5 linked regions of the Tribolium castaneum genome follow. The protein of the gene in region 3 purifies or fractionates together with the protein of the main gene of each other region. This does not show direct contact. Links are inferred from orthologs where the notes say so. Each region holds a gene or a part of one and is shown on either strand. Other genes may lie near its edges.

What was found.
Region 1: the proteins of Cdc27 (region 3) and shtd purify together in Homo sapiens (affinity purification with mass spectrometry; 16 studies listed by BioGRID and IntAct, with this or other methods). This does not show direct contact. The link is inferred for Tribolium castaneum from reciprocal best matches to the Homo sapiens genes CDC27 and ANAPC1.
Region 2: the proteins of Cdc27 (region 3) and mr purify together in Homo sapiens (affinity purification with western blotting; 20 studies listed by BioGRID and IntAct, with this or other methods). This does not show direct contact. The link is inferred for Tribolium castaneum from reciprocal best matches to the Homo sapiens genes CDC27 and ANAPC2.
Region 4: the proteins of Cdc27 (region 3) and ubiquitin-conjugating enzyme E2 S purify together in Homo sapiens (affinity purification with western blotting; 4 studies listed by BioGRID, with this or other methods). This does not show direct contact. The link is inferred for Tribolium castaneum from reciprocal best matches to the Homo sapiens genes CDC27 and UBE2S.
Region 5: the proteins of Cdc27 (region 3) and anaphase-promoting complex subunit 13 purify together in Homo sapiens (affinity purification with mass spectrometry; 5 studies listed by BioGRID and IntAct, counting the BioPlex papers as one, with this or other methods). This does not show direct contact. The link is inferred for Tribolium castaneum from reciprocal best matches to the Homo sapiens genes CDC27 and ANAPC13.

Annotation. Positions count from the first base shown.
Region 1 is NC_087397.1:4,707,502-4,714,694, forward strand, and holds the end of shtd (anaphase-promoting complex subunit 1), read right to left. Parts: intron 7,175-7,193; coding exon 6,576-7,174; intron 6,466-6,575; coding exon 5,319-6,465; intron 5,272-5,318; coding exon 5,023-5,271; intron 4,975-5,022; coding exon 4,756-4,974; intron 4,708-4,755; coding exon 4,581-4,707; intron 4,536-4,580; coding exon 4,334-4,535; intron 4,284-4,333; coding exon 4,048-4,283; intron 3,998-4,047; coding exon 3,749-3,997; intron 3,704-3,748; coding exon 3,382-3,703; intron 3,335-3,381; coding exon 2,963-3,334; 3' UTR 2,908-2,962; downstream 1-2,907. Other genes in the region: CCT8 (T-complex protein 1 subunit theta), read right to left, coding at 1-46; Pen (importin subunit alpha-5), read left to right, coding at 918-971, 1,021-1,385, 1,431-2,001, 2,054-2,236, 2,285-2,467, 2,514-2,660, 2,706-2,801. UniProt on the Homo sapiens protein: Component of the anaphase promoting complex/cyclosome (APC/C), a cell cycle-regulated E3 ubiquitin ligase that controls progression through mitosis and the G1 phase of the cell cycle.
Region 2 is NC_087394.1:29,186,996-29,193,941, forward strand, and holds the start of mr (anaphase-promoting complex subunit 2), read left to right. Parts: upstream 1-3,567; 5' UTR 3,568-3,662; coding exon 3,663-4,255; intron 4,256-4,302; coding exon 4,303-4,441; intron 4,442-4,487; coding exon 4,488-4,641; intron 4,642-4,687; coding exon 4,688-4,946; intron 4,947-5,140; coding exon 5,141-5,295; intron 5,296-5,808; coding exon 5,809-6,348; intron 6,349-6,397; coding exon 6,398-6,636; intron 6,637-6,777; coding exon 6,778-6,946. UniProt on the Homo sapiens protein: Together with the RING-H2 protein ANAPC11, constitutes the catalytic component of the anaphase promoting complex/cyclosome (APC/C), a cell cycle-regulated E3 ubiquitin ligase that controls progression through mitosis and the G1 phase of the cell cycle.
Region 3 is NC_087394.1:14,529,114-14,535,506, forward strand, and holds part of Cdc27 (cell division cycle protein 27 homolog), read right to left. Parts: intron 2,370-6,393; coding exon 1,823-2,369; intron 1-1,822. UniProt on the Homo sapiens protein: Component of the anaphase promoting complex/cyclosome (APC/C), a cell cycle-regulated E3 ubiquitin ligase that controls progression through mitosis and the G1 phase of the cell cycle.
Region 4 is NC_087395.1:19,971,149-19,977,217, forward strand, and holds ubiquitin-conjugating enzyme E2 S, read right to left. Parts: upstream 3,552-6,069; 5' UTR 3,258-3,551; intron 3,199-3,257; coding exon 3,045-3,198; intron 2,996-3,044; coding exon 2,808-2,995; intron 2,760-2,807; coding exon 2,631-2,759; intron 2,582-2,630; coding exon 2,450-2,581; 3' UTR 2,084-2,449; downstream 1-2,083. UniProt on the Homo sapiens protein: Accepts ubiquitin from the E1 complex and catalyzes its covalent attachment to other proteins. Catalyzes 'Lys-11'-linked polyubiquitination.
Region 5 is NC_087396.1:19,125,212-19,130,472, forward strand, and holds anaphase-promoting complex subunit 13, read right to left. Parts: upstream 1,881-5,261; 5' UTR 1,747-1,880; intron 1,656-1,746; 5' UTR 1,654-1,655; coding exon 1,444-1,653; downstream 1-1,443. Other genes in the region: uncharacterized protein LOC100142251, read left to right, coding at 501-657, 1,900-2,139, 2,194-2,626, 2,672-2,767, 2,813-2,886, 2,935-3,059; AN1-type zinc finger protein 1-like, read right to left, coding at 677-1,444; atlastin, read right to left, coding at 3,608-3,928, 3,992-4,195, 4,249-4,430, 4,485-4,770, 4,827-4,982, 5,032-5,193, 5,241-5,261. UniProt on the Homo sapiens protein: Component of the anaphase promoting complex/cyclosome (APC/C), a cell cycle-regulated E3 ubiquitin ligase that controls progression through mitosis and the G1 phase of the cell cycle.

The sequences.
Region 1 (7,193 bases), on a different chromosome or scaffold from region 3:
TCAACATCTGGGCGAAGCCCGGGGCTTTAGGGACGTGAAGAGCCATTTTTGAGACCGATTTATTTTTTTATAAGCGAAATATTAATAATCGAAAAAGTTTGCACAACAATGGACATGTGAACTTTTGGTGACTAATTTGGTGGGTTCAGCGCCACCAACATGGGCAAGAAATAGAACCAAATGGCACGGCTGCTCATGCATGCGCATTGGTTTACGCTCGCTTTTTAAAATTCGGGATCGGGAAAAAAAACTGTATTTTAACTCCCGGCAATCCATTACAATCCCGGCAGCGTCATCAGCAATTCTCGAGGGTCTAAGCATGCAACTCGCATACGTTCGTTGCATAACGTCAGTCGTCGAGCTTTAAACTTGTGTTTTTGCACTCGTATTATTTATTTATTTTTTAATCCTCTTTAAGTGAAATGTCGAAAAATTAAGGCATTTAATTCACAGAATGGTAATTCTTTGTTCGTGAGTTGGGCCCAATCTTACCTTCGCATTTTAAATTTTCCGAAATTGGATTGGCTATAAATCGGCGCGAAGCACCATCCACTCATATTCAAATAATTCTCCAAATTTGATAATTCTATTGGCCAATTTGGTGGGACTGCTTTTCTATTGGCCAAGTGAAGCTTGCTCGTTATTGGCTGCCCGTCATTAATTGTCAGTGTGACGTTCAGGAACTGCAACGGAAATTTTGACCGTAGAATTTTTGTCGTTTTATTTTTTAATCGGTTGTGGAGACTATTCACTAATAGTTTTAATAGTTTTGGTGCCTAGTTTAAATATAATAGGTGAGTAGATAATCAATGCCCGAATCAGATGAATTAACCTAAAAAAGGCCCTTGAAATATCAAATCAATTTTTTGTTCTTCACCTATCAGTGACCCTGTTGCACGTTTCTAACTTCCAGAAAAATGGGAGACGAGAACAGGATCCGTTCGTTTAAAAACAAGGGAAAAGACTGTGAAGTGAGTATCAATCATGTGCAATTTTGCGATTTTGAGACTTCTCGTGTAGGAAATGCGCCGCCGACGGGCCGGCCAGACCATCGAACTGCGGAAAGCAAAAAAGGAAGACCAGTTGTTGAAGAGGCGCAACATATCGTTGCAAGAAGAGGCCTCAACTCCCCTTCAGGAGAACAACTCCGTGTCGCTGATCACCATGTCTGCCGAAGAAATCTTGATGGGTAATAACCCCACTCCCGACTTGCCCCATTTTAATGACCTGATAACAGGAATGATGAGCCCTGACGAGAACCTCCAGTTTAAGGCCACCCAAGCCTGCCGCAAAATGCTCAGCCGCGAGCGGAACCCCCCAATCGACCACATGATCCGCTTGGGGGTTGTCCCGCGATGCGTCGAGTTCCTGGGCAAGACCCACAAGTAAGCGAGAGCCTAGCCTTGCATCTTATTAATTTTTTTAAACAGCCCATCGCTGGTGTTTGAGGCTTGCTGGGCCCTCACGAACATCGCGTCTGGCACTTCCGAGCAGACCGCAGCCGTGGTCCAGGAGGGCGCCCTTCCTAAGCTCCAACAGCTGCTCTCCTCAAACCGCATCGACGTCGTGGAGCAGGCCATCTGGGCGATTGGTAACATTGCAGGTGATGGGCCCGAGAGCCGCGATTTGGTGCTCAACTACGGCGTTTTGCCCAGTCTTATCAACTTAATCAAACCAAACACTACCTTGTCCTTGTTACGCAATACTGTGTGGGTTATTTCTAATCTTTGCCGCAATAAAAATCCGTACCCCGATTTTGAGTTAGTCAAGCCGGCTTTACCCGTCTTGGCGAGACTTTTGTCGCATGACGATAAGGATGTTTTGGCCGACACGTGCTGGGCTTTGAGTTATTTAACCGATGGTAGCAATGAGAAAATTCAAGCGGTGCTTGACACCGGTTTAATTGACCGCCTAGTTATGCTTTTGTATAGTGAGGAAAGTACCGTCCTAACTCCGGCCTTGAGGGCCGTTGGTAACATTGTGACCGGAAACGACCATCAGGTATAAGGCCACTCAATCAATTGTTAAAAGTATTAATAATTTCGTTTGGTAGACTGATATGGTGATCAATGCCGGGGCTTTAGATTGTATGATCCGTTTATTGCAACACAGTAGACTGAACATTGTCAAAGAAGCTGCCTGGACAGTTTCAAACATTACTGCCGGAAATAGTGAGCAAATCCAAAAAGTCCTAGATGCCGGGATTTTGCCTTATCTTCTTCACGTCCTACAAACCGTATTGTTGCCACGCTTTGTCCGATTTTTCCTAAAACGTGACTTTTAGGGCGACTTTAAATCGCAAAAAGAGGCAGCTTGGGCTGTTACTAATTTCACAAGTGGCGGGAATTCCGCCCAATTGGCGCAACTTGTGGAAATGGGGGCGTTGAAACCCATGTGTAATCTCCTGAATTCCAAAGATAGCAAGACTATTATCGTGGTGTTGGAGGGATTGAATAACATTTTATCGGTGAAAAAAAATTTGTGTTGGAATTTTGTCTAATTGTCGATTTTAGGCCGCTGCCAAGTTAAATCAAGCCGAGAAAGTGGCCATAATGATTGAGGAGTGTGGCGGTTTGGACGGTATTGAGGCCTTGCAAAGTCACGACAATGAGAAAGTCTACGAACGGGCTTTGCACATTATCGAGAATTATTTCGCCGATGTGAGTTATTTTGTGGGTAAATTGTTTTGTAATTTGAGGTTTCAGGGTGAGGAGGGAGTCACTGTTACTGTAGCAAATGGGGAGATTCAGTTCGCTACTCCTAATATGGCCGATCAACAACAATCACCCTTTTCCTTCTAAGTTTCAACCGATGCGTTTAGTTCATTCCTTATTGTGTTAGTGACACGTTTTGTATTTTTATAGTCTGTATTACGATATGTTCCCAGTTTTCGAAATAAAAATTATGTTAAACCTTGAAATTAGTTTTATTTCACATTTATTTATAAAAAATACAGCTTCTTTCACATCCTTAGCCTCATAATTTTCTCTAAGGTACTAACGGAATATTTGTCTTGAAGTTTAAGCATCACTTCTAATGGATCACCTTCTGCACTTTCCCTAAATGGTATATCGTAAAATATCACATACATGGCTAGCCTATTCAAGGTTTCTTTATCAAAAGCCAAGTCGGCGCCCCTTGTATACGCTTCTAAGGCGGGGGCCAAGCCAGGTTCCCAATCTTCTAAAACTTCTAACATTTGTTGCTTTATGGCCAACATTACTTCCGGTTGAATTAAATTACAAGCTAAGGGAGTTGATATTATTTGTGCAAACAGCAACTTGACTTGCCAAAAGTTCAAGGCGTTTGGTAACAATCTCATATCACGAACGACCTGAACATAAAATCATTATTTAATAAATACATGAGTCTTGACATTACCTTTAACAGAAAACTAATAACCGGTATGACAACAAGTTTGTCTTTCACGACAGCGTCGTACGTCGCTTTAGTCAGCATTCGTGTTAATTTCAATTCTTGCGGACTTAGTTTATCAGTTGAGAGAAAATGATCACAGAAATACTTAATAGCTTGGTCGTGTGTGAACGAAAGGATGGACGACGATGAAGGATTCCACGGTACAGTCTCAGACTGAGTTAACGTTTTGGCCAACTGGCTGTGATAACCCAATTTATCGGCAATGTAGCTCAAACAGCCCGCCCTTTGCTTGACTTCAACGAACCCATTAGTCGAGAGTATGGTTCTAAAAACCAAACATGACTGATTTTTCACGAAGAAATTAATTTACATGAGAGAATTCCAATTTTGGCTCCTCTTGAAAACCACAGGCCAATAGCGCTCGTCCTCAATCGCCACTTCTTTCAACATACTGAGGTCGGGGATAATCCCGGGTGCTTTTACGAAACTTTTCGTACCGTCCAATTTAACGACACTCAAAGAGGCGTAGCAACATTTACCAGAATGAACATCTTTTGGTATTATTAGACGCGGCTCAACCGCCAGTACGTACAAATGTCGGAAGGCTTGAAGGTGATACCTGGAGCAATATTACATATTTTTCCTACTTTTACACAACCGTTTCGTTACCTGTTATCGTTACTATGAGTTGGAAATTTCGGGTAAAAAGCACATATTAAGGCCGCAATGTTCCCCGGAGAGTTAGATAACGTGTATCTCCCACCCCCCAAAAACAACAAACCTAAGGCCATATGCATTGCCAGGTGTGAACCGTACGTGACCACAGAACTGCTAGCTACACCAACTCGGCGGCGTAAAAGTCGCACAAAACGCATGATTTCAAGATTACCAGTCCCCGCCATCACCTTTAACAATTTTTTTTTCAAATAAAAACCACAATTAATCGTCACAGTACCATCGCGCTCGATAATAGCAGGACATTGAGACAGGTTTCAACGGTCGGTTTCCCGGCTAATTCAGCTATGGATTTGATCGTCAGGTTGGTAAACATGCGGCAGAAGTGGAGCAAAGTCTGGAAGGCGTTTTCGTCCGCAGAACCCGCGTACTTGAGACCCAAGGCGAAGCAAGCTCCTGTCACAATGTTACAATAAGCTTGGCTAAAATCACACGGTTATTTCCTTAAAATCGTACAAATCACTAACTTCATAGCTTCAAAATCAATATCCAAATTCGGTGATGGTTTTAGCATACAGTAGGGCCTGATGGTACCCGGCACTTGACCCTCGACCCATTCCTTGCTCGGCACAATATCATCCCAAAGAATCAAAGCTGTGGAACAAAAAATCAAAAATTTTCAACGTGATTTTGAGGGACAACCTCGCGCCAATATCCGAAACATTAAAAAGTCAGGACGCACAAAATCAAGCAAATATTGTGTTTCAGGCGGCGCCATCCAGTCAGCTACGGCCTTATTGCCAGTTCCTAGATACATAAGGCCTAGAGCTATCGTGGCCCCCGGTGCTGTCACGTCTAAATTAATGGAAGAACCTTCCCGGATTTGAAACGACGGTACTTTGTATTTGTCTTTCTGTGCGCCTGTAAATTATTACCAGTTAAAATGTTTGATTTCATGTGGTCATGTACCGGTTAAGGGACGTCGGTTACCACCGACCATGTAATAGTGCAAGCGGTCGGAAATATTCAAGTCTGACAAGCCCAGAGAGCAACTGCCTTGCTTCAAAGTTACTAGGCCTAGCGATAATCCGGCTGCAAGTGAGTATGATTCCCGGTCGACGCTGTTTTCCATCTCAGGGCCTGGCGGACGCCCGATTTCGGATAACAGGACTTCGATAATGTGGCGGTGCGAAGTGCCTTGGTAGACTAACCCAATGCCTTGAAATAACACAAAGTAATAATAATTTTAAATGCTTTTTACCGACCTAGCAATGCAGCAACTTGCACATTTTGGTGCACATCAAGCTCCATCGATGTCGGGGGCAGCATAGCTTCCACATGTATACTCAAAGTCTTGGTCATTCCCAAATCCGAAGTGCCCCTAAAAGCCGCAGACATCCCAAGCAAAATCCCAATACTCGTCATTTCGTGCAACTTAATCAAATAGTCATACGTGTTCAACGCATCTAAATTTTTCAAATGGCCATTCAGGCCCAAGGCCATTAAAAACCCGGCATGTTCCATCTGCTGTTCCATCGAACCCTTCGGTTTGTTGAACACAATCCACGTATTGTCCACATTGTGCGCATCGGGATTTATCCTCAAACCGTTCGCCACACCGTTGTGAAACAACGGCCACAAATTCATATTCGAGGGCGTATCGATGTGGTTTAGCTCAACTGTCGTGCCCCGCGGGGGCGCCTTCCCGGTCAGGCACAGTGGCGGTGTTTGCAGCGGTTCGGTCACAACCGGTGCCGAGGTTCTCAAAGTGAACATCCCTCGGCCTGTTGACAGGGCCATGGTTCTGGTACAGATCGCAAACAAGTGTTTTTCTTCCTCTTCGATAAAATCATGATCGGACACGTCCGGTCGTTGCACAAGGACAATCGGGACGGGTTTGGAGCTTTGCAGCATTTTCCGGGCTTCGGCCACTCGCATATCGTCCGGAAAACGCAGCTTGGTTAAGGGGTTTTCAATGTCGTCCATTCCGTCTTGTTGCTCACTTTCGACCGGTTTGGACGTAAGGACAATGCCTGGCAGTTCGTGGGTTGTGTACATTCCTATTTTCTCTAAAGTCGTTTCGGGTTTTTCTTTGTGGAATTTGTGCGCTTGAACAGCGAGGTCATCGCGCCATAGTAAGTAATAAGCGTCTGAAGGTAAGTCCGAGGGAGGGTTATCTCGGCATTTCCACAATGTGCTGTATATTAGGAGGTAAATCGCTGGAGGTAAAGTGTCCAAATCTCGAACCGTCATTTTTTTCGATGTCATTAAAAGAAGTGTTTGTTCCGGTGGCGAAAGCTCAGATGGTTCTTCTTGAAGAACTGGGCTACCGTTAGATGTGATGTTGGGCTCTATGAGCTTAAGCAAATTGGCCGGCTTGTGGCCAAGTTCTTTAAAGATGATGCCGCAAATCTATTAAAAACAACTCGAATATTTTACTTGAAAAACTATTCGTTTATCTCTCACTTTCACTTCTTTAAAAACTAAATATAAATAAAAAAAACGCAACAGACGAGACTTACCTGCACGATGTCCTTTGACTTATTGTTGACATGATTTACAAACGGATAGGGCGCCACTTCCCCTTTTTGCATCAAATGGCACAAAAACTGCATAATATTGGCCGGCGTTTCGCCAATAAACGGATACTCATGTACTTGTTTTAACTCATTTGGTGCGATATATCCGTTCGAATTTAACGAGAAACAATCGGGAAAATCTTTCCAGTAGTGCACCACATACTCAACCATCCCTAAATCGCTGGCTATCTTATTTAAAAAAATCGCCAACAGTTTCAAGTCATCCGATCGCAACACATTCAACTTCAAATCTTCATACAACAAGTGTAAACAATACAAAATCAAGCGAATAAACGGGAAAAGGAGCGAATTAACATTAATTTGAAGCGTCCTAGTGTGGCTTTTGGGGGGATTTGAGTTGCATTTGAGGAGCAACGTATGTTTGAGACACTTGTCTAGTTTCGTTGCATAGTCCGAATTGCTTAAATACAACCAATCCTCGTCCGTCCCGGCACTTGAGTGTTTCTGTCGCTTGGGGTTACTGCAAGGTGTTACGGGGCAGTCCTCAGTGTTACCAAAATCTTGCTCGTAACCCAAAAATTCTAAACAAGAAAATAAAAC
Region 2 (6,946 bases), about 15 Mb from region 3:
ACACCTACCTTCATATCGCTTCCACGTTGGCTACCGTTTGTAGCATTAAAAAAAATAATAATAAAAATGAAACCAAAAAAAATGTTTATTTGCATTAAATTTTGAGCAAGCCACTTTCATTCATTGAAATTAAAGGCAAAATTTCGTGGCAATAAATTATTTGAGTGGTTTATTTTATTTATAGTTACTGTATTTAAAATGTGTCACTCAAAATATCACTTTTCAATACCGCATTTAAAGATTTTAATTGCATTTAAGTTTTATGAAATTATTGGTTTGTGAAATAAATAAATACGACACAGCAATAAAATACACCTACCTTCATATCGCTTCCACGTTGGCTACCGTTTGTAGCATTAAAAAAAATAATAATAATATAAATGAAATAAAAAAAAAATGTTTATTTGCATTAAATTTTGAACAAGCCACTTTCATTCATTGAAATTAAAGGCAAAATTTCGTGGCAATAAATTATTTGAGTGGTTTATTTTATTTATAGTTACTGTATTTAAAATGTGTCACTCAAAATATCACTTTTCAATACCGCATTTATAGATTTTAATTGCATTTAAGTTTTATGAAATTATTGGTTTGTGAAATAAATAAATACGACACAGCAATAAAATACACCTACCTTCATATCGCTTCCACGTTGGCTACCGTTTGTAGCATTAAAAAAAATAATAATAAAAATGAAACCAAAAAAAATGTTTATTTGCATTAAATTTTGAGCAAGCCACTTTCATTCATTGAAATTAAAGGCAAAATTTCGTGGCAATAAATTATTTGAGTGGTTTATTTTATTTATAGTTACTGTATTTAAAATGTGTCACTCAAAATATCACTTTTCAATACCGCATTTATAGATTTTAATTGCATTTAAGTTTTATGAAATTATTGGTTTGTGAAATAAATAAATACGACACAGCAATAAAATGCACCTACCTTCATATCGCTTCCACGTTGGCTACCGTTTGTAGCATTAAAAAAAATAATAATAAAGATGAAACCAAAAAAAATGTTTATTTGCATTAAATTTTGAGCAAGCCACTTTCATTCATTGAAATTAAAGGCAAAATTTCGTGGCAATAAATTATTTGAGTGGTTTATTTTATTTATAGTTACTGTATTTAAAATGTGTCACTCAAAATATCACTTTTCAATACCGCATTTATAGATTTTAATTGCATTTAAGTTTTATGAAATTATTGGTTTGTGAAATAAATAAATACGACACAGCAATAAAATACACCTACCTTCATATCGCTTCCACGTTGGCTACCGTTTGTAGCATTAAAAAAAATAATAATAATATAAATGAAAAAAAAAAAAAGGTTTATTTGCATTAATTTTGAACAAGCCACTTTCATTCATTGAAATTAAAGGCAAAATTACGTGGCAATAAATTATTTGAGTGTTTTATTTTATTTATAGTTACTGTATTTAAAATGTGTCACTCAAAATATCACTTTTCAATACCGCATTTAAAGATTTTAATTGCAATTAAGTTTTATGAAATTATTGGTTTGTGAAATAAATAAATACGACACAGCAATAAAATACACCTACCTTCATATCGCTTCCACGTTGGCTACCGTTTGTAGCATTAAAAAAAATAATAATAAAAATGAAACCAAAAAAAAATGTTTATTTGCATTAAATTTTGAGCAAGCCACTTTCATTCATTGAAATTAAAGACAAAATTATTACGTGGCAATTAATTATTTGAGTGTTTGATTATAATTTTATTTACTGTATTTAAAATGTGTCACTCAAACGCGATCACTAGTCACCGAATTGAAAATTTAAACCGGAAAATTTAGATTTGTTTGAGCACACGTCCGTTCGCGACAACGGCAAGTAACAAACTGAATAAATTGAAGGAAACCGCACAATACACAATAATTTAAATAAACCGACCCGACTCACCTCGCCTCCTGCTTCCCGCTCACGATCTGACCCGTGCCATTGCTCGCTGTCGACTGAAGCGCTCTCGCCGCCTGCGCCGCACACCTAACCTCGGGACACGTCACGGATGTGACGTCACTTAAGTCTAAAACAAGTCATTACCAGAAATATTCACTGGAAAAATTCGTCAAATTTAGAAACATTCATACACAGAATTATTTAAAATAGAACAGCATTGATCTAAAAAAATTAATTATGACAAATGTATTTGCCTATAAACGTCTAAAATTATAAAAGTTTCGCATGCAGTCAATGGAAAAATAAAAATGCATGTTTTTATTTAAACAGAAACTGGCAATGTGAAATTTTGGTGCGAAAATTAGTGGTATCGCAATGCGTATAGCAACATTGTTTGTTTGTTTCGTTTTGTTGAAAATTCGGTAGGTTTCAAAAGTAGGGTTATGTTGTCACCCGAAAATGACAAAATTTACACTTTTATGAATTTTGTCTCCATCTCTGCCCTTTCAGAGCGTTATGATAGGATATTTAGGGTCGAAATCTCTACCTTTATTATGTGCTATTGCCAGATAAGGACAAAAGTTCAGAAAGTAGGGTTAGGGTGTATTATGCTCTCTTCTGAAGTGTTAAATTTTAACTTTAATGTTTTTTGTGTGCTTTCCTGCTCTTCTAGAGCGCTATTAATTATTATTGAACATGTTTAAGGACAGACAAATCTACCTTGAGTCAACGACATAAATTTCAGTGAGATTTATTGAAAAATGCACTTCTCGTGTCAACCTTTTCATGAAAAAGGGTGTTTAAACGTTTATAAAGGGTATGTTAACGTGTGTTGTTAACTTTACCACGTAATAAAACATAAAGTATAACTTGGTAATTTTTTACTTTAACTACTTCTGGATTTTCAAGCTGAAACTTACACCAAACGATTCCTCTGAGTGCCCTGATGACCGTACACTATGAATTTTCTTGTGCAAATTGAAAATTACATTAGAAAAATAATTTTTATTTTCACTCACTTTTTACTTGAATCGCCATTTTTGTTGATTTTAATTTGAGTTTATTTTTTATAATATCACGTTAATTTTTATTATTATAGTGGATCAAAGTGTCGTCTTTAGGTTAGACTATTGCCTACTATCGGTTAGGAACAACATGATCTCCAAAAATATAACGTAGTAATGAGCTCCAGAAGGTTTACGTAGATAGGTGCGTTTTTCCCAAAAGTGAGTTTTTTGAGATCGAACCGCAAGTGAGTCACACTGCGAGGAGACTCCCATAGACAGAAGTTGCAAACATAAGGTGCCAGACCGGTGCCAGTTTGGCTGATTGCAAGTATGTCTTTATCATCGATTCGGTGACGACTATTAGTTTCGTAAACTTAATGGATTTAATAAATATCTTTAACATTAAATGTGATCGTGTCATGTTGGGTAAAATTCTTCCATCTGTGCTGTCTGTGGATCCACCTTTTCAAATACAATTAAGAAATTTTCATAATAATTGTATTTGATAAGGTATTGGCATCATTTTGACGTGAGCAAAAATTAAAAAAATATAAAGTAATCGGAATTATTTTAAATTTGCGCCATTTTTAGTACGTGATGATGCGGCTAGATGGCTTCAGCTAGGAATTCATTGCCAACCATTATGTTCCGCTTCTATAAAAGTGTTATTCTAGGAACAGAACCTAAAAGTTTGTCAGTTTTTTACGTTCAGCAATTATTATTTTTACAATGAATAATCAAAACCTGGACTTAAAAAGTGCGTGGATTACGATTAAAGAAGCTTTTCCAATCTTAGAAAGTCCTTCAAAGATCCCTGATAATGATTTCGACTCTGCCCCTTTTGAGGCAATCAGCATTATCAAAAGGCTCAATTTAACACAGCAAATTCAGGATTTGGTCATAATTAAAATAGAAGAACGTTTGAGGAAGGAAATAGTCCCAGATTTTTGGTCCCACTTTAAGAAAACCGAGAACGAGGCGGCAGTTTTTCACGAGTTCTACAGTGTGGTTAAATTTTTGTTTCACAATTATGTGCAGCTCGATTTAATTATTAACAAGTTGATACTGTTGAGAGAAGCAAGCAATTTCACTAAACCAGTGTACAATCAAACTTGCCTGCATGAAGCTTTAAAATTAATCGTTAGGGCCGTCTTGTTATCCCAACTCCCCATTGATCATGAATGGATGATAGTAAATTTTTACGAAACGGCGCTTAAAATGCAGGACCCGGAGGAAGAAAATAGCACAAGTGGGGAGTGTGTTGTGTGCATGCAAGAGGAATTTTCCTGTTCTTGTCGTGAAATGTTTGAAGAAACTAATAAGTAAATAGTTTTGTTTTTTATTTTTTTACTCAAATATTTGTGTCTAGGAAATTGGGCAAGATGACTTTATTGGAACCGTTAGTTGGCCAGGCTCTCACTGATTTAATTTATAGTTACATTCAGACACATATCCAGAAAATCTGTAAAGACAATTTTGATAATTCGCACATTGAGAGTCTAGAAAAGGTAGAAATCAGTCGTTTCTTGAATCGATTATACGAATTATTTTCAGTGGCTTCAAACGGTTGTTATTTCATGGTTGAAAAAAATTTACTTTCATAATTCGGCAGTCAAGGCCATGGATGAGTTTGACAAAAAACTAATCAATTATTTATACAACACTTACACCAAAATACGAATAGATCAGTTATTTAACATCATAATTGGTAAAAATTATTGTTTTTGTGGCAGTCTGTCATCAAATATTTTCAGAATATCCTGATTCTCTTCCGGCCCTTGACGACCTTCGACTATGCCTTCCAAAAACCGACCTAAAACCCCACTTAACTCGGTCGTTGCAAAAAGCAATTGAAACAAGATTATTACATCCAGGAGTAAGCACGTTTGACGTTCTGACGGCTTACGTGGCTACAATTCGGTCATTGCGGATTTTGGACCCCTGTGGACTGCTTCTAGAGACAATTACTCAACCGGTTCATCAGTATTTAAGGAGTCGGGAAGACACAATAAGGTTTAATAATTAAAAAAAAATGGTCTAGTTGGCATATTTGACGTTTAAGTGTCAAATTTTCATAGCTAACTGGAATTTCGGAAAGACAATAAATAGTGTAGTTGGCCTTGAATGACATTTAAGTGTCAAATTTCCACAATTAAGGGGCACTTTGTGTACAATAATTCCGAAATAGGGCGAAATTTTTAATACAGGTGTGTGGTGGGTAGTTTGACTGAAGAGGGCCCAAATGATTTAGCTGAAGAGCTGGTCCGGGGCGAAGCCGTGCAAGTGGACGAGAACATTTCGGTCGATGAGGGGGTTGAAGACTGGGAAACGTGGACCCCAGATCCGGTAGATGTCGTCCCCAGTAAGTGTCTTTTTATCGCTTTGAGGGAAATCGACGTTGGCATTTCCATAGTTTTGAAACAGAGAATAGTCACTTTTGACAAATGATTTTTTCTTCTTACGGTGACAGTTTATTTAAATTTAATAATTCTAGTGCTTAGTCACCAACCAGCAAACTAAATTATAAAAAAATATTTATTTTTGAGTTATTTGTTACAAAAAAATTGTACTTATTAACTTGTTTAGGTGCTAATTTCCTATATTTGCAATTCATGTCCTCCCCTCCTCTCCCCTCGGTCGTGCTGTAAACCACCTGCTTATGTGAAAAATTGCTTTTTTAAACGATTTATTAAATAACGACAACTGATTTTTTCCATTTACATTTTACATGATTATTTATTGTCCTCAAGAAGCCCAAAAAGTTGACGAAACGTAAGCAACAATTATAAACCAAATAAGCTTTGTCTGCCTTCCCAATAATAATTAGACTTATCCCACGTATAATATAAATAACTAATTCCCTCGAAAAATTAAGGCAAATCTTCGGGACTTCCCCGCACTTCTGACATCATCTCAATGCTTGTCAACGTCTACGGCAGTAAGGAGCTGTTCGTCAACGAATACCGCACCTTATTAGCCGATCGTCTTTTGTCGCAATACTCCTGCGACACCGAGAAAGAAATTCGTTATCTTGAACTCCTGAAGTTGCGCTTTGGTGACTCCCAACTCCACTTTTGCGAAGTTATGTTGAAAGATATCGCCGATTCGAAGCGAATCAATCAACATATTCAGCAAGACTTGAGTTATTCAGACGATGATATTCCCATGTCTGCCATGATCCTAAGCGCACAGTTTTGGCCAGCGTTCAAGGACGAGAAGCTTGAACTCCACGAAAAATTGGTGAAACAGATGGAGAGTTACACTGGTGCTTTTGAAACTTTAAAAGGTAGCAGAACCCTGTGTTGGAAAAATCATTTAGGAATTGTGGATCTTGAAATTGAATTGGCGGATAGGACTTTGAATTTGTCGGTTTCACCGGTGCATGCGACGATTTTGATGCACTTCCAAGATCAGAGTGAGTCAAAAAGATCAAGATTTTAAGCGACTTATTTTTTCGTTTCAAGATACTTGGTCTTTGGAAGCTTTGAGTAAAGTAATGCACGTTCCGTCGACAATTTTACGGCGCAAACTGAGTTTCTGGCAATCACACGGGATCATAACTGAGCCCGAACCCGACGTTTTTTATCTACAGGAGGAACAGGAAAATAACGAAAATAATATACAGGATGATATTGTTGTTGAAGATTTTGAATCAGAGTCGGCGATGGCCAGCGCTCAAGACCAACGCGAAGAGGAATTACAGGTAAAAAATCTATACAAATTGGCTATAACTTTGAAATTACGTTGGTAATAAAGTCAGTTGTCAATGCTGCCAACCTAATTTCAGTATCATAGGTCAATCTGTACTGAAGTTTATGGGAAAACATGTTATTTTTTTTAACAGACTTTCTGGTCGTACATTTTGGGTATGTTGATGAATTTGGACACTTTACCTTTGGAGAGAATCCACCAAATGTTGAAAATGTTCGCATTCCAAGGACCCACAATTGAGTGCAATTTGCAGGAACTGAAAGTGTTTTTAGATAGGAAAGTTAGAGAGCATCAGTTGATTT
Region 3 (6,393 bases):
GAAAATAATCCATTTTCAGATCTAAATTTGCAATTTTCGTTTGAAAACACTTGTTTTTTAAAAGTAATTATTTATTAATAATCTGACTGTACAAGTTTTTATCTTTGGCACAATTTCTGCAATTTGCCAAAAAGACACCTAAAACAAATGTAATTTGGATAGAATTTTCGAACGTCGTGAGTTTTATGATAAAAAATACGTTCCCAATTTTCTGTCTCGGTTGGACAAAATATTCCAATTTTCTGATTTAAAAAGTTCAATTCAAAAATGTCTTCGTTGTTTTGGCGAAAAAATCAAATTCTGGAAATTTCTCGGAGAAAAAAGCCCTAAAGTTATTAAAATTGTGAAAATAACGCATTTTCTATCTAACCATACGAACTTTTATTTTGTTTGCATTATAGTATATTATTTCGAATTTTGGATTTTTTTTCGTTACCAAAGGTTTTAAATACATCAAAATAATGGAAAATAATGCATTTCATGAATTAGAACTCACAATTTATATAAAACTTCGGTCCGAAAATATTTCATGTACAAAAAAAATTTTAACATTAAGTTTAATTTAATTTTAAATCGACAAAATACCAGTTTTAATAAACTGAATGAAAAAAAAAACACAAAAACAATTTTTCATAAAACGAAAACAGTTGGATAGATGTAGGTATCCAAATTCTTGCTGGTTGTAGCTTTCTAAACTACGTAGATGTTCTACGATCTATTTGCCTTATTCATTATTAGGTTATTAGCTAAGTTTTAATAACAATTTAAACATCAATTTTTAAAAAGCTAATGAGAAATTTAAGAAAGATTTTCAACTCAAAATAAACGTAACTCCTAAAATGCGTTATTTTATTATGTACTATCACAATTTCGTTAATATGTAAATTTAGATTTCTAAATCTGAACATATCCATTTAAAAAAATTATTTTGTGAAAGGCATAATTTAGCCGAAACAAATCCAGAATTTTTTCCACAAACTCGTACAATCTGTTAAATTTGATAACAGCACACTTAATTGTAAACTGTTTTTGTTTTATTAAATATGTTTTTCTACTAAAGAGAACTTTTGTGCAACTACTTTTAGTAAATTTTTAGGAGTTGGCAGTGCTGGGCTGGATGTCATCAGTCATCACTATAATTTAATGTGTGATCTGTCAATAGTGTCAAGTCGGTTATTGATAAAGACTGAATAATTAACAAAATTAAGAAGAAATAGTTTGAACAGATTTCGATAAGATAAACTAAACAAAAACACAACAAAAATAAAAAGTAGAAAAAATAGTATATTACACTCGTTTTATAAGTCTTAATTGTGGCAGTCATTATGCTGGAGCACTCCTTGGTCGTGCTCCAAAACCATTTGTGCCACAATAGAACGTCTTATAAAACTCGTATAATAATTAATAATACACTATTTTTGTGTTTTTTTATTCAATTTACGAAAACAGCTATTTTTTCTATTTAAAGTAAATCAAACTAAGTCTTCTTCGAAAAACATTAATGACAATTTTTTTATATCATATGGTAAAGAGAAAGGTATGAAGTATAATTCAAGACTGAGAGTAGACTTGGACATTTTTTTCAAACACAAGAAAGACATCTCCAGAGCAACCGAGAACATTCTACCTAGGCAGAAAAAATACGAGTTCATTCCATATCTAATTTTCCATATCTTCGCTTGGCAAAATTTCTCGAGTTTTTTCATTTTGTAAATAAAAACAAATATTCCAAATCATGCGATTTACTCAGTGAGAAGAAAACACTCACAAATTTAGAATTTGATAAAAAATTTTGTGCAAAAATCCATCAAAAATAACTTACATTACTGGAGGAATCCGTCCGAAATCTCAGCAACTTGGTCCTCGACGTGAAGGGGGCGAAGCCCGACAGCCACACATTTTGTGTAACAATTGGATTATCATCAGGTGTACACAATTTCGAATTCGAAGTTACGACATTGGGGCTAAAATTCACAAGAATCTGTTGAGGAGTTGTGGCGTATGTCTCTTGATTATCTTGATTTGGATTGTTGTTTGTTATAACAACACTTTCGATATTGTTAATATTACTTCCCTGGCACATTGATAAATTTTCAACACCTGTTATTTGGAATATATTTTGGGGGTTTGGTTTATCTCCTATTTTGCATAAATTTTCGAAGCTTGACCATTGAAATGGATTTAGTTTTAAGGCTCGTTTCCATGCATCTATGGCACGAGGTTTTCTTTCGGTTTTGGCAGCTATGTTACCTAATAAAGATAAAGCGAATGGTGCTTGATCACCGTATTCTGATGTGATGTCGTCGAAATTCTCGGAGTCATTGCTGCTCTTATTGGAGTGTAACAAAGCTGCCTCGGCCTCAGCATATCTGTAAAAAAAACATTATTGAAGCTATGCTAAAATTAAGTAACGATAACTGTTACAACATTGTGAAAAAATGATTGTGTTTATAAATAATAGAAGGTTACGAAGACTAAATACTAAATAAATGATCTTCTGTATCTAAAAAATTAGTGCGGTAGAGTAAAAATTAGGGCACATCGAACGTTAAACTGCCTGGAAAAAACGCAGTAACATTGAGCGTAATAATTAATAAATAATAATACTTATTAAAAATTAAAAAAATTTTGACTTGTCCCATATTTTTCAAAATGCTGAGAAGAGGATTAAGAAAACAAAAAAACAAAGAAAGTTCATCAAAAACGTTGAAGCGAATTAAATTTCCTACTAAAAAGTGCACAATTTTAATTAACGGTGAATTTGATATAAGATATAACCTATTAGTTGGTTACATAAATAATCTCAGAAATAAGAGTGTACAATTAAATAATACTTCAATACAAATATTATTTAGGTAATTTTTTTATTATTATTTCTAATGACATTCTGAAATAAACAGTATGTAATTATTGTTGTTTTGTAAAAAACATATATAAAAATTGTCGTTAATTTACCACAGTTTATACAGTGTGGAATTTTTAACTGAAATAAAATTCATAACTAGGATATAGGCAATTTTTGTAAAAATTTCAGAAACAGGTGCTTTTTGTTTTTTCTTGCCCATCATTTAGTCGATATGGTTTTTATTTATCTGCTGTCAAAACCTCACAGCCACCTCCAACTTTTTTTCTCAAATGTAACGGTATGTCGTGTGACACCTCATGTAAAAGAGCACTTCGAAAGCAGTACAACGCATTATTTGCTTTCTAAATATTGTCAATGCCCAAGTGATAAAAAATTAAAGTAGTGTGGAAATATTGACTAAAATAAAATTTGTAACTTGGATACAAGCGATTTTTGTAAAAAAATCCTGACACAGGTCGATTTTTGATTTTCTTTGCACATCATTTGGTGCGGTTTTTGTTTATCTGTTTTCAAAAATGCCCAGCCACCTCTAACACTTTTTTTTTCAAATGTAACGGTTATGTCAAGTGTCACCTCATGTGAAAGAGCACTTTGCAAGGAATACAACCCACTCTTTGTTTTCTGAATATTTTCAAGGCCTGCGCGATAAAAAATGAAAATCAATTTTTATAAATTAAAATTAGGAAAATCACACTAGAAATGTTAGAAATTCATGCTACTATCGTCATGTTATTTCCCAAGAGAGGAACGGTGCCCATTTTGAACAATCAAATCAAATAATGTTCAACTTATAAAAATTGGTTCTTATTTTTTTTATCACGTAGGCTTTGAAAAAATTCAAAAAACAAATAGTGCGTTGTAATGCTTGCGAGAAGAGCTTTCATACGAGGTGTCAGTTGACATACCGTTACATTTGAAAAAAAAGGTTAGAGGCGGCTGTGCATTTCTGACAACAGATAACAAAAACCATATGCATCAAATAGTGGGCAAGAAAAAATAAAAATTGATCTGTTCGGGAATTTCACCAAAATCGCCTAAATCAAAGTTATGAATTTTATTCCAGTTAAAAATTACCCGCTGTATGTTGTACAGGGTGCTGCATGTTGGATGTTCGAATACGGGATCTCCTAAGAGGTATAGAGAAAAACCAGTGACATATTTTCGAGTCAGTTTTTTGAGAAAATAATTTCGCTATCTTTTTTTGTTTTCGACTTTTAAACACTTATGTTTATAAAAAAAAATCATATCTTCCTTAATATAAAAGATACACATTTAAAACAAAGACATTTTTTTTCAGAGAATCTAATAATGTTATCAGCAATTTTTTTCAACTATTCGTTTAACTGTAATAACATAAAGTTTTTATGATATTTTCGAAAAGCTAATTTTTTTCTGATCTGATATGTCTATTTGTGTAATACATTAATTTTAAATATTTAAGAAAAAACAAAACATTTCGCTTTTTCTTTATAGTAGGCCATGAAAAAATTTTGGATTTTTAATTAAAACTATGAAAATTGTATTACCCAACAAGTATTTATAATTTAATGATTTTTTTAAACACTAATTAATTCAAAAACAGCACAATAAATTTTTATTAGATCAAATTTTTGCAATTAATAAAAATTATTTGTTTTTATATTTAAAATGGCAAGCTTACGTTGTCATTCTATTTTCCTATTGTAAACATGAAATGTCGGAAGAAGAAAAATCTTATTAATTGTATGATTGCTTATCAATAAAATTTTATTTTACAAAAAAATATCAATCCAAACACCAAAATCAAATTCCATCTGCGGTAAAAAAAATACACAACATTATTAACGTCACCTCCTTTGCACTTTACTAAATCATAAAAAAGTGGCATCAAATGGTAGTGATACATTGTTTGAAATTTTCTGCACATTTCTTATGTAATTAAAATCCGCGACGCTCGTATATTTGTTTAAATGAAAATAACTTTAACACAGCTTATTTTTATAATCACATTTTTTACTTTAATAAACGTTCACAAAATTTCTAGATTATTCATACCTTTTATGTGAAATAATTTTTCCATGGCCGACTACTTTCAAATATTTTAAATATATTTTTATCAAAAATATATAAAAATATCAAACTATATTTATATTGTTTTGAGTTCAGAAAAAAATTAGCTTTTCGAAAATGTCATAGCCAACTATGATTCTCATTTAAAAAAATACAACTATGTTATTACAGCTGAACGAATGATTAAAAAAATCGCTGATAACATTATTAAATTCTCTGAAAAAAAATGCCTGTATAATGTTTTTGTTTCAAATGTGTATCTTTTATAATAAGGAAGATATGATTTTTTAAGATTTCGCTAAAATGTCCACTTCTTTTTATAAGTCGACAACAAAAGACGATAGCGGGATGCGGTTTTGACCAAAATTATTCTCTCAAAAAACGGAATGTTTCACTCGTTTTTCTCTAAACCTCTTAGTTTTGGAGATCGCCTATTCGGACATCCAAAATACAGCTTACGTTTTCTAGTGCACTAACTATTAACAAAGAATTAAAATTTTATTCAGCTTTCTATACACCTTTTTCAACTATGTTTCAGAAAGAGTCAAGTATATTTCTGAAAAAGGCAGTTATAATTCAGATTATATCCCATTTTCGTTCACAGTACAATTTTACAACAACGCATTTACATTTTTTTTGGAGTCAAATGGAGCAAAATTTAGAGTTTCTGGTGGGTTTTCTTAGATCAAAACGTGTCACTGGGATTTATTTTAACACAGAATTCTTTTCTTATACAGAATCTCTCAATTTGTGCTTTATTTTTCACACCAAAAAATTCAAATGCACTGTTGCAATTCTACTATGAACTGAAATGGGATATAGTAAACTGTATTTAAGGAAACGTTAATTGTAATTCAGAAATAAAATTTTAAATATTTTGGGTTTAAAATTTAAAATACAAAACATCAAAGCTATGTTCTTAATTATCAGTGCATTTCTTAGTTTAGCTTACGTAAAAGCTTCGTTTTAAAATTGGTACACTGAATTTCACTTGAACTTTTCTTAAAAACCTACTTACAACTGAAAAAAGTAAAATATGAATTACATCTTACTTTTTCTGAAATACTATTAACAGATCCGAATTACAAGTGATTTTTACAACTACTATATTCAAAAAATATACGGGGTGTCTCAAAATTGGCGAATTCCGAGATCAGAGTGTTGTAGAGAATCACAGTAGTTTAAATGTAGAAACAAAATAAAAATTCGAGGCTTCCCACAAAGTTACATTGGTTGGAAGAAACACTTCAGGTGCACTTTATTTTGCGTTTTCTTTAAATGCAGGCTAAAAATTTCAGTGTTGATTGTTGTTTATGATCCAGATGATTGTGGAAAATATTTTTTGAGAAATTGTTTTAAATGATTAATAAATAAGAATAAACACTGAAACTTTTAGCTTGGATTTGAAGAAATCGCAGTTCAAAGATTAATCTTTAAACCAATGTATCTTTGTGGGGAAGCTCCGAATCTTCGGAATT
Region 4 (6,069 bases), on a different chromosome or scaffold from region 3:
AAAAAGCAATGAAAAAATTAAACACCTATTGATAATTACACATAAAGGACTTTATCTTTTCGATTTTGCTTAATTTTTTAACAAGCAATTGTTTGTCCGAAAACTACGTGTTATTGTCTTCGACAAGCCAAATCTCATTCATCGTTCGAAGTAGGTACTACTATGAGAAGTATCTGCTACAAACAGAAAGTACTTTGAACTGTCTTTTGTTCTCGGAAGTAAAGTATTTACTTCAAAAAAAGTAGCATTTACTTCCCCTGAAGTATTTACTCCACTATACTGTAGTATTAGTATTAGCATCTACTTCATTTTTATTCGAACCACCTAATACCTGTGCCACTAACCTCCCGCCTTTTTCGAAACATCAAACGTTTCTTCAAATTTCTTCAATTGTTTCCAAACAATTTTATTAACAAAACAACGGCACTAATTATAATCCAACGGTTTTAACATTTTTCACGAAAACAAACCTTTGGTATAACCACCACCATGACTTATCGAAGGGCCATTTCTTTCTTAATGCGCCAATATTATAATTAGAAAATCACTAAAAAACGTGAGTGGTGGGAATGTTCAAAATTTGCAATTTTAGAAAACACAGTTGTTAAAGTTGAGTTTCAATAATTTTTAAGCATATTGTGCCCACAATAAATATCCATGTGTTATTTTTTATAATACTTGGATCAAATGAATAGTGAAAAACGTTATAAAGAAGCATAAATCTGAGAGCAAAGACACTTTATGGGACCGTTAAACAAGCTGAAAACTTTCTTTATTTCTATTTACATCTGCACAAGACGAAAGAATACAAAAAAACTTACGGCGACCAAAGAGTTAGCGTTTTTTGAGATCGAATGAAACTTTTTTAATTTCATATTTCTTGTCGTGTTCATGTAAGAAATCTTCCAGAAACACTTCCATTATAAAAAATATATTTTAGAAAAATGTGTAGGTAATTTCTTCTTCAATACTGTTTTTCGCAGATAATTCTAACAAAAATAAAACTAATACTTTCTATACTTTTTCTAAGCACCAACCCTTCCCAGGTAGTATCCTTACAAATAATATCTCACCTTCAAAATTAATTTTTGTGGACTTCTCCATGGGACAATCTCACCGCAAACATTATATCAATCAAACACAATAAAATTTTATTTGGATAAACCAAAAATTGAGATGGTAGTCATTCACTCCGATTTTGGACTTAAATTTTATTTTTCCACCTGTTTGGATAATTTATTTAAAAGTCCTGCACTGGATTTAGTAAAGGAAGACATCGATGATGAATTTTTTTTCTTCGATTTGGTCCTCAGAGCTACCTTATTTTATCACTTGCGAATTTTTTAAACAATTTAAATGTTACCTATTTATTACATATTTGATTTTCCAGAAGAACAGTTTCGAAAGGATACATGGCCAAAGATGGATCAAACATTTGTCTTCTCAAAATTAAAAATGAACAAGTTTTAGTACCACTCGAGCCACATCTCGATATTTTACCCAAGGAAATGGACAAATTTTATTTAGCTACAAACGGATTTCGAGACAGCTTTGCCACACAAATAGCAAAACCAAGATTGACTTAAGTTAAGTATGTTAACTTTTCTTACACTTATAATTTGGTGGCATTCACAAGTGTTCGTTCATTTCGGGGCCAATACAATGAAAGAAACGAAATTAATTCCTTTTTATACTACATCGCCTATATCCATCATCGGAATACAGTGGAACTCGGTTATTACGAGCACCCAAGGGACTAGAGAATTTATTTGTTGTAACTTATAACAGTTATAACCGATCGTTGGTTCTAATCGAACATCGTTCTTATGGAGTAATTTTCAAGTTAAATGAGTTCTAAAGTTTGAAAGAGATACAGGAAATAAAGTATTAATCTATTTTGTTATAAAAAAGATATGTACATAATTGTGGGTACGGTTGGCGTCTGAGGATAAACTACTTCTCTTTGTCATTCATGCTATATGATGTAACTAAACATTCAGTCATAAATGTGTAAACAAATATGTAGTATTATGGTCTATAAAATTATTTTTCAAATGGATTTGGTCTCTCACTAAAACAATAATTTGATTTTCAGTTTTTATTAATAAATAATTCACAATTCTCTACCACAAATACATCCTAAGGCTCAGCTATGTTTGATGTTGAGGCCAACAATGTTCCGGTTTGTTTCAATATTTGTTGCAGACACTTTGTAATTGACTGGTGGAAAACCAACTGAGCCTAACATTTATTTTTTGATTGGAACCATGAATAAATTGCACTTTGTGCATGCACTACATTCAAAATAACACGAAATGAAAAGGTCTCAACCAAACTGTAGCACACATATAAATTAATAAATCATTCTTGCATACTCAAAAAATATAATTTAATAATTAAAAAAAAATAGTTAAAACAAAGAAATAAACAAGAATGGCAGTAACGGTTTTCATAAACGCTTCAACGTCCGTTTCTTGTCTTTAAGTATCTTCTTTTTCTCCGCTGTTAGTTTACTCTTATCACTGGCGTGCTTCTTAGCCAGAGGGCCCTCCCCGCTGCAACCTTTTGAAATTTTTTGGGGCTAAAAAACCAAATTATAGATCTATTCACTGATTTTGGCTAAAATTCACCTGAGCGTGAATTTCCGTCATCATTTTGGCCCGCTGTGAGTAGTCTTCGTACTGTTCGAGGAGCAGTTTCCCGGCTTCTTCATTGAGGGCTGATTCGGCGTTGGGCACAATGAGGAGGCATTTAATGGTCTGAAAAAGCGCAATAACCTCAAAAACACTCAAAACCGGAACACCTACCAGTAATATGTGTTTAATTCCGAGATCTGACTTCCAATCCTTTTTTAACGTGTTGACGCAAATCTCGCCATTGGCGGCCACATTTGGGTGGAAAATCTTCGTCAGAAAGAAGGCCTTGGGCGGCTCCTGAGGGAACCCCTTGCCCAGAGTGAGCTTCACCTTGAAAACGCCCCCCATATACGGCGTCCCTGCAACAGGAAGCTTGCACAACGTTTCCAGGACAGAGGGGCCACTAACCTGCAGGACCGTCAATGTACGCCTGAATATCGGTCACATCTTCGTCGTTTATTTGAACTTTGATCCCTTCGGGAGGATTTGAGACTAGATCTTCCATTTCTTTGACCACTCGACGGATGATCTGGGGCGAAAGATTCTCCACATTGTTTGACATCTGAAAACGGAAAAAAACGTACCAAAAACGACTCCACGAGACGAAATACGACGACTCACTGCTCCGGCACTTGCCCTTAATTAAAAATATCACAAGAAATCGACTAAATTGGCGATTTCACGACGCTAAAACAACCTGACAATCGTGATAACAAACATCAAACTTGGCGTTCTAGAGAAAACAGATGAACAACGAAATTTGAATTTTGCCACCAATCACATGCGTTTAATCTCGGACCCGGGGACGGCACACCGAAAAAACGCCAAATGAAACTCAAAAAAAAATTTCTTTCGCCCTGCACCACGCATACACACATTCAGCGACGAAAAAAGCGACGGATGAACCAAAAAATCGTTAAAATTAGCGCAAAAAGCGGTTAGAAATTTTTTGAAGCGACACCTGGCGACAGTTTAGTTAGAACATTTAAAAGTTGATTTTAGCCACTAAACCGCCTAATCTTAGGAAAAAATTAAAACTTTGCATTAACCACATTCTACAGGGGGTAAAAAAAGTGAAAAAAACGCCCAACAAAAGGTAAGATTGCACTTAAAGAACATATTTTGTTTCAAAAGCGCCCTCTGGCGAGTTAACAAACGGACTAGACGGTTAAAAAATCGGTTCTCGCCAATGGTTTAAAGACATAGTTGTGCCGTAACTCCTAAAACTAATCAATAGACGGCGCGCGAAAACGTCACTGAGATGGCACTTTTGAATTTCATACGTAATTTTTTGCTACTTTGTGTGACTTGGAGAAAATTATAATTGCAGGACAATGAAAATTTTAATATACGCCATTCCAAAGATATGTGGCCACACTTTTATTGCGGTAAAAACTATTTGCCTCTCAACCTCTAATCAAAAGTAATCCGTTTCTTCCTTGAAGTCAGTTTGATCCAAATTCAAAGGGACTTTAGGTCGCTGTTTAAAATAGCACAATTGTTCAAAGAACAATTTACACTAGTGAATTACACTATAGGAAGTGGATGCAAAGAAAATGAAACTGCTGTTATCAAAAGATCTGAGAGAGATAAGAATAAGTATACAGAAACATTTTTAACATTTGAACGAAGCGATGAATTTATTGTAACCTAAATAACATTGTCGATTTTTATGGATGACTGATGGGCAACCAGATTTACAGTCTATATTATCAAGTAAATAAACAACATTTAACCTTAAAAAAATATGAAAACTCAAAAAGCACACAGCCGGATTTCTAGTTTACATACCATAGGTGTCATATAATGGAGGTGAGTGTTTAAATAAAAAATAATATTTTTAAAAAACAATTCGTTACTGTAAACTATCATGCAGTTTTCCGATTTTTTGGCCACTTTTCAATTATTTTTAGAATCCCTATCACCTTTCTTTTTTGTCGCTCATGTTTTTAAATGGTTTTACAACTGAAATCTTCATAAAAGTCACCAACATTGTTTTACAATGTAAATTTTCCCAAAACACGATATAAATCGCATGTAAACAATGCAATAATACGTTAGCCATCTGGCTGACGAAGCAATATGGCGGTTCTCCCACTCCTCACAGAGTCACAACGCAACCATGTCTATACTAACCTTGGTTTTCGCACTTTTTTCGGTACAATCATAGAATAAGAGAGAGAGGGTACAATTTACCAAATTAATTTCGATTTCTTGGCACCGTCATGTTTAACAATTTGCTTAATTCGTCAAATGCAAAGTTTTTTAATTACTCCCTCGCTTTCGCTTCGGTGGATTAAATTCGTAAAATTTTTGAAAATCAAAACAAATTTCGGCCATGATGTGACGTCATGACCGACGCACCAATCAGAGGTTTATTTTGGTCCCAAATGTGGCTGTGTGATCCAGTGATCGCGTCAGAACAATAAAAAACCATAGAATAAGAGAGAGGAAGAAGCGAATCTCTCTGTCTACCCCTCGTTTTTTCGCGAAAGCGCCACCTAACCCGGGGAGAACGAACTAATTCGATAATAGCGGGAAATTCAAACAGGACATTTTATTTATTTTCCAAATTTAAAGAATTATAAATGTTAAATGTTTCTGTACTCATGCACTGTTACGAAACATTTTAATAAAAAAGCATCTGTAACAGTTGCAATAGCACAAAAACATTTAACATCCCTTAATAAAATGAAACAAAGTCTTTCCAATAAAAATTTATTGAAAAAATAATAACGTGCTGGAATGTATAGGCAAAATTAATTTAACTCGAATTGTTCTTCATAAACATACTCAGATGTAATAATATGTGTAAATACATTGTCTAAATATACACAATGATCCAGAGAAACTGAGTATGTTGGCATCAGATTAAATTATTGAATTGCTACCTGAAAGTGTACACTATTGGTATCCTTTAAAATTTAAATTCAGATTGCTAACAGACACAGTATTTCGGGATCAGTCTGTATAAATACATCAGTTTTGTTGGTTTGATTACTTGTCTACAGACTGTTCAGAAAAGCAAAAAAATATCAAAATTTTGCTTGTAACCTTTGACAATAGTCCAATTTTTAAGTCCCTTAAGGCTAAATTTAAACAACTATTTTTCGAAATTTATTCGTGGTTTACGGACGTTTGTAAAAGCGGCCCTAACACGTACTTTAACAGTTTGATGTCAAAGTTCTTGATAAGTTTTGAAATTTTTTAAAAGTAATCTCGATTGCATCATAGTTATTAGTAAATTACTCAAACACAAGAGAATTACAAGTGTGCTAAAATTATTTTAAATAAAAAGCCACATATCTGATATACATAACTATAACTGGAAGTTAACTGATTAAAACTACCATGTAATCATTTAAATTTATAATAATAGTAGGCTTTAATATTGATTAACTTGTATGATACTTGTAGAATACGTTTTTTCGCT
Region 5 (5,261 bases), on a different chromosome or scaffold from region 3:
AATTCTACATCCACAATCACTGTCGGGAAATACGTGATTGCATCCCTTGGTCAAGAGGTTTATTTGAATAGCAACTAAATGCATCAACTTTTCTGTATTCGTTAATTTAAACAAGTGTGATTGTGGATAAAATAGCGTACAAAACTCGGTAGGAATTTCATTACATCCTCGGGCTTCGTCTATCCTCGAGGCTAATGAGTAAAAGGTGAAATATATACACCACAAAATAAAAAATAAGGAAACTACAATAACATAAAAATTCACCTTAATCCTAATTAACATTTAAGTTTTCTGCAGTTTTTATCATTTCCAGGTAAAATTAAATTAATAAACATTATATTACATTGCTTAGAACGTCTGCAATTCGATAAATAGGATTGTTCTGTAGTTCTGAATACAGAAAAGTGATTTATTTTGTATCTCGTTCCCGTAATTTGAATATGAACACGTATTAAAATATTCCCACCTCGGCTGTAATGACTAAAACATGGAAAGTGCAGGTATGGATAACGTGTTGAAAAACGTCCAAACAATCCAGGACCGTGCCTCGCTTTCTTCCAAAAGACTGACACTGACGAGAGCTTCGCGCCAGTCAACAATTTTGTCATACTCAACAAGTTCCATAACCCCCACAGTATTAGAGAAAGAAGGACCAAGGTATGATTGAAAAATTTATTCAATTATCATCTACATAAGTTATTATAAGATTTTCCCCATCCATAATAACACCATCACTGATCAGTTTTTCAAGACCGTCCGCCAGATTTTTCGAAATTTCACCACTATCTTGTTTAAACAATCTTAATTTTTTTTCACCACTCTTGTTATTATCATTCCTCAATTTACACTCACTTGCAATTGCATCGATTGCGCGCCCCAAACTCCAAATTTTTGAAACGAAAACGGGGGTCACGTGCCCCGTTTCAGGGTGTGTAACATTGAAGTAAACGCGGTCTGAAGTTGGAATACTATTTAACCCCTTCGCTTTATTTTTAATTTTCATGAGTTGTACTTTGTTTGCCAAATTTTTACCCTTCTTTTTCGCCGCGATTAAATTTTGCTCGATTTGTTTATCAACCGCGCTCTTAGCTTCATTGAACTGCCTCACAGGCGCAGCCAGTTTCTCCCTTTTTTGGGCGAGAGTTTCCTCGTCTGGCTCGCTACACTGGGTGATATGCCGGTGTTTTATACAGAAATGTTTACGACAAGTGGAGCAAAGCAAAGGGACCAAACTAGATTCGTGACAATTTTCGAACGAGCATTTGAACACGTTTTGAATTTTTTGTGGTTCTACCTCAACATTCGTTGAGGTTTCACACACTTGGACGTGTTTGTTGAAATGTTCCGAGCAAAATTGTTTGCCGCATTTGCATTGTAAAGGGAGAAAATCTAACTGCTGGCAGTTTGAATGGGCGCATTGCTGACCTAAATTGGGGAGCTCCATCACTGGTGTTCGCTTAGTGCACTGAGGGCAATGTCGGTCCACTTTTGTTCTTGCTCCTGGAGGGTTAAGTGGATGTCTCCGGAGTCGGCCTCGGGGTCGGCGAGCTCGTGCGTGGGGACGTTGATATCGTCGTGAGGCAGCTTCTCGGAACGCCACTTATCGTCAATTAAATCAACAAAGTAACCATCAATAGTCACTGAACTGTCCATTCCTAGAAAGTGGGGTTATGGCAATTTTACACAAAAAACCTAACAAGAAATACAAATATTCTGCCTTAGAATACAGCTGTTAAAGGCACTTACTAAATTTGGGAGCACAGTGATTCAGCAAATTGCCAAAATGAACACAAATAAATTTACCTCCAAACGTTTTTTCTAGTTTCTTTTAGTTTTGTTCTAAATAATTGGCGACGCTGTGCCTGGCGCGAATTTAAATTTACTGATATTTATTTTAAGAATCAATATTACGCAGAAGACTGATTTGATACTGCGAGAAATGGACAATATTCAAGCAGCGTTGAATAAAATCAACAGAAAGTGCTACGTTATTAGGCATAAATTGAAAGCAGAGTTGGAGGAAATGGCAATTCGCGAAAGTGAAATACAAGAAATCAAAGATACGTTTGAAAGAACATTTATTACTAACGAATTATCAGAAAAGTATTCGCAAAAGAATCCAGCGGATCGTTTTTGTCGGTAAAGACATCCCCACTTAAAAAACTAATTTTAAGACTGTGGTGTGCCGGACAGGTTTATGGACGAAACTTTTAAAAAAACTGGCGCTACGATTGATAAACTGCGCCTAAGGACGAGCTCTCTAAAAGTGCAGTACCAGAAAATATGCGCTCAATTAACGCAGAAGAAGTTACTGGGCGAGCACTTGCAAGAGGTGGATTTTGAGCAGCTCGAAATTGATAATAAGCACTTGAGGGAGAAAATCGATAAAAGGAATTTGCTGCTTCTCGAACTGAAAAGAATGAACGGCCGCGCGAATTTACTGCTGAGCAATCAGAAGAAGCATCTGCTCAAGAAAGTGACCGATCTAAAAGTGTATCAAGACACAATCAAAATGCAAGAGGAGTTGGTTCGGAAAATCGACGACGAATGTGAAAAGGTTTCCGAAGAACTGGAGGCAACCAAGGAAGAGCACGATAAAATTAAAACCAAGAGTGAAAATTACGAGGTTCTTGCTCGAATTAAGCAAGTGAGTTTGGCTATCGTACCTTAGGTTCCTTCTGTTTTAGAGTATGTGAAAAAGAAAGCTGAGTTGGGCTTGCTGAAGAAAAATCTAAAGATTTGGGAGAGACGGAAACAAATCAAAGAAGTATTTGTGCGTGCAAGTGGTGTTCGTTTTTAATTTTGTTTTCAGATGGCACTTACTGCCTCTGTGAGGGAAATGAAACACGCGACGGGCTTACCAGCTGCCAAATCTTCTTGGTTTATGTAAGTCTGTGCCGAATTTGATTCGGTTTGAAACTTTTGTAATTGCAGTAATCCTCATGATATGCATCGCGGAAGAGGGTCAGTTGAAAGCACATTTGAGTTTATGTTTGAACGCAAAATGAGGCTTTCGCTGATAATGCAAAAGAAGAAAAGTCGTCGTCGCAAGACGCAGTAATGTAATTATTTTATAAAAATACAAAAAACGTTGAAATAATATGTGCAACTGGTCGGTCGTTTATTACTACCAAAAAAACTAAAACATGTAGGTATAGGAAATGGCAACAGAGAACATTGAATTGTTTGAAATAAATTGCGGCAATATTACTAAGCTTTTAAATGGAAATATTAGATGAAAGGCTGCATTTTTGATAAAAGTTTGTTTGAGCTTAAGAATAATGCATATAGTTCTAATTTGTTCCAAAACACTAAAAATCATTAAAATAATGTAACTAGTTGCGTATACGTAGTTGTAAAACTTGTCTTTACCCGGCGCCTCCACCATATATCACAGGGAAAGATTAAGAAACGTGAATGGTTTTAAAAACGCGGTTTTCAGAAAGCTGGGGTTACCGGAGGTTGTAAATAAATTGACTGTCACAAATAAAATGCCTCAAACTTTCTGCTTATTTTTTTATTTAAAGTGGCCGACACTGGTGCAAGTTATTTAACTACCAAAAAAGTAATAAGATACAAAATATTAACAAAGATCGGTTTTAGTAGATTATGTAGAATCAGAGTCATCAGTTGAGTACCGCCTTGTGGAAGAAGAATTATTTGTATTAGAATTTCCTGTATCTCTAGATGATTGACGAATTATTTCATAAATGCCAAAACCAATTGCCGCAAGTCCTGTTGCAATACGCAAGGATTGAAGAATTATCGTTTCTGTTGAAAGGGATTCTCGTGAAACGAGGCTCGAAGACTGTGATGGTCTGAACTGCTGAAGACTCACTTGTTGATTTCTTCGTCGTTCACGTTCAAGTTGGCGATCTCTATCAAAATCGAATCTTTCCCTGTAAATCGAAAACCGTTCGTCCATTTTCTACGAGATATACGTAGAGATAATTATAGTTATACCTACAAAAACATTAATTGATGTCCTTACCCTGATAAGCCTTTGTTCGTATCTATCATACACGAGACTGCTTCCTAATAATCTAGTATTATGATAATTGTCAAGTGCTCTTGTTTTACAAGATTCGTGGTGATTATTAAGTAATAAAATTGAGGAAAAATTATGATGCATTTGTCGATCATATAGTTCAAAAGAACTTTCAACAGCGTCGTTATGTTGATTATTTATTGTCGCCTGAAACATGTGGCGTTTTCTCAAATTTTTTAAACTGAAGCGCTTAATTATACCGCTAGTCTTGTTTCAACATGTGGTAAACCATCCCCAAGTATTTCAGTATACGTGCCAAAACATTGAAATAAATCATTGGCGGTGATCTCTTCTCCGTTAAAGCGTTTTATTACCAGGTTTTCTGGTTCAAAAATGCGTTCAACTAGTTGCTTAACGTATCGCTTAAAATTGTCATTAATTTCTAGAAATTAATCATTGGTTAAATTCAGTTTTGGAAATATAATTATTTAGAAACCATTTAGATCTCCGTTAAAAGTATGATCGGCCGCTACCCGCTCTCCAGGAAATGGTAACAGGGAGCAATTAATTGTTTGAAATAAATTGCGCACATTATTTCTTTGCTCATTTATTTCGTCGGGAAGCGCATCATGTTGACCGTAAAGCCTGTCTTGAAGCAAAGACTCACCCCCTGGAATACCAAATGGCCTTTCGTAGGGTGCAAGCCAATCTCGGACTAAAATCCAAAGATCTTGAAACGGGCAATCATCATTTGTGAGTAATCTCCCATATTGGCCAAACATCTAAGTATAATGTTTCGTTAAATTTTTTAAATAAGATCAATAATTTTGTAAGAAACCTCCACAGACTCCAAGTCGTTTTGATTCAAATTGCGCATCACGTTATAAATTTGTACGGAACTTATCATTGTACTAAGAGCAAAAATCGTTGCCGAATTTTCTACGGTTGTTTGATTGTCGTATGAGCCTTGAGTATCGAGCAAAACAACCGCAATCTGGAAGTCCAATTTAAAATATTAAATATAAAACCGATCATTTAGCTACCTCTTCATTTGACGAGGGTTTATAAATAGTAAAAATCTCTGGCCACATTAAAATACCATTGGTATGAGCATTAGACCCATGATCCCACAAAAAATCCGACAAATGTGACCCATGTATGGGATCCAACCAATCAGAATTGGGATCAAGTGGAGAACTCCCATGCTAGCATTTTTAATTAAAGTAAATAGAAAATAAAATTCCATACGTACCTTTAGTTTCAGATATCTCAA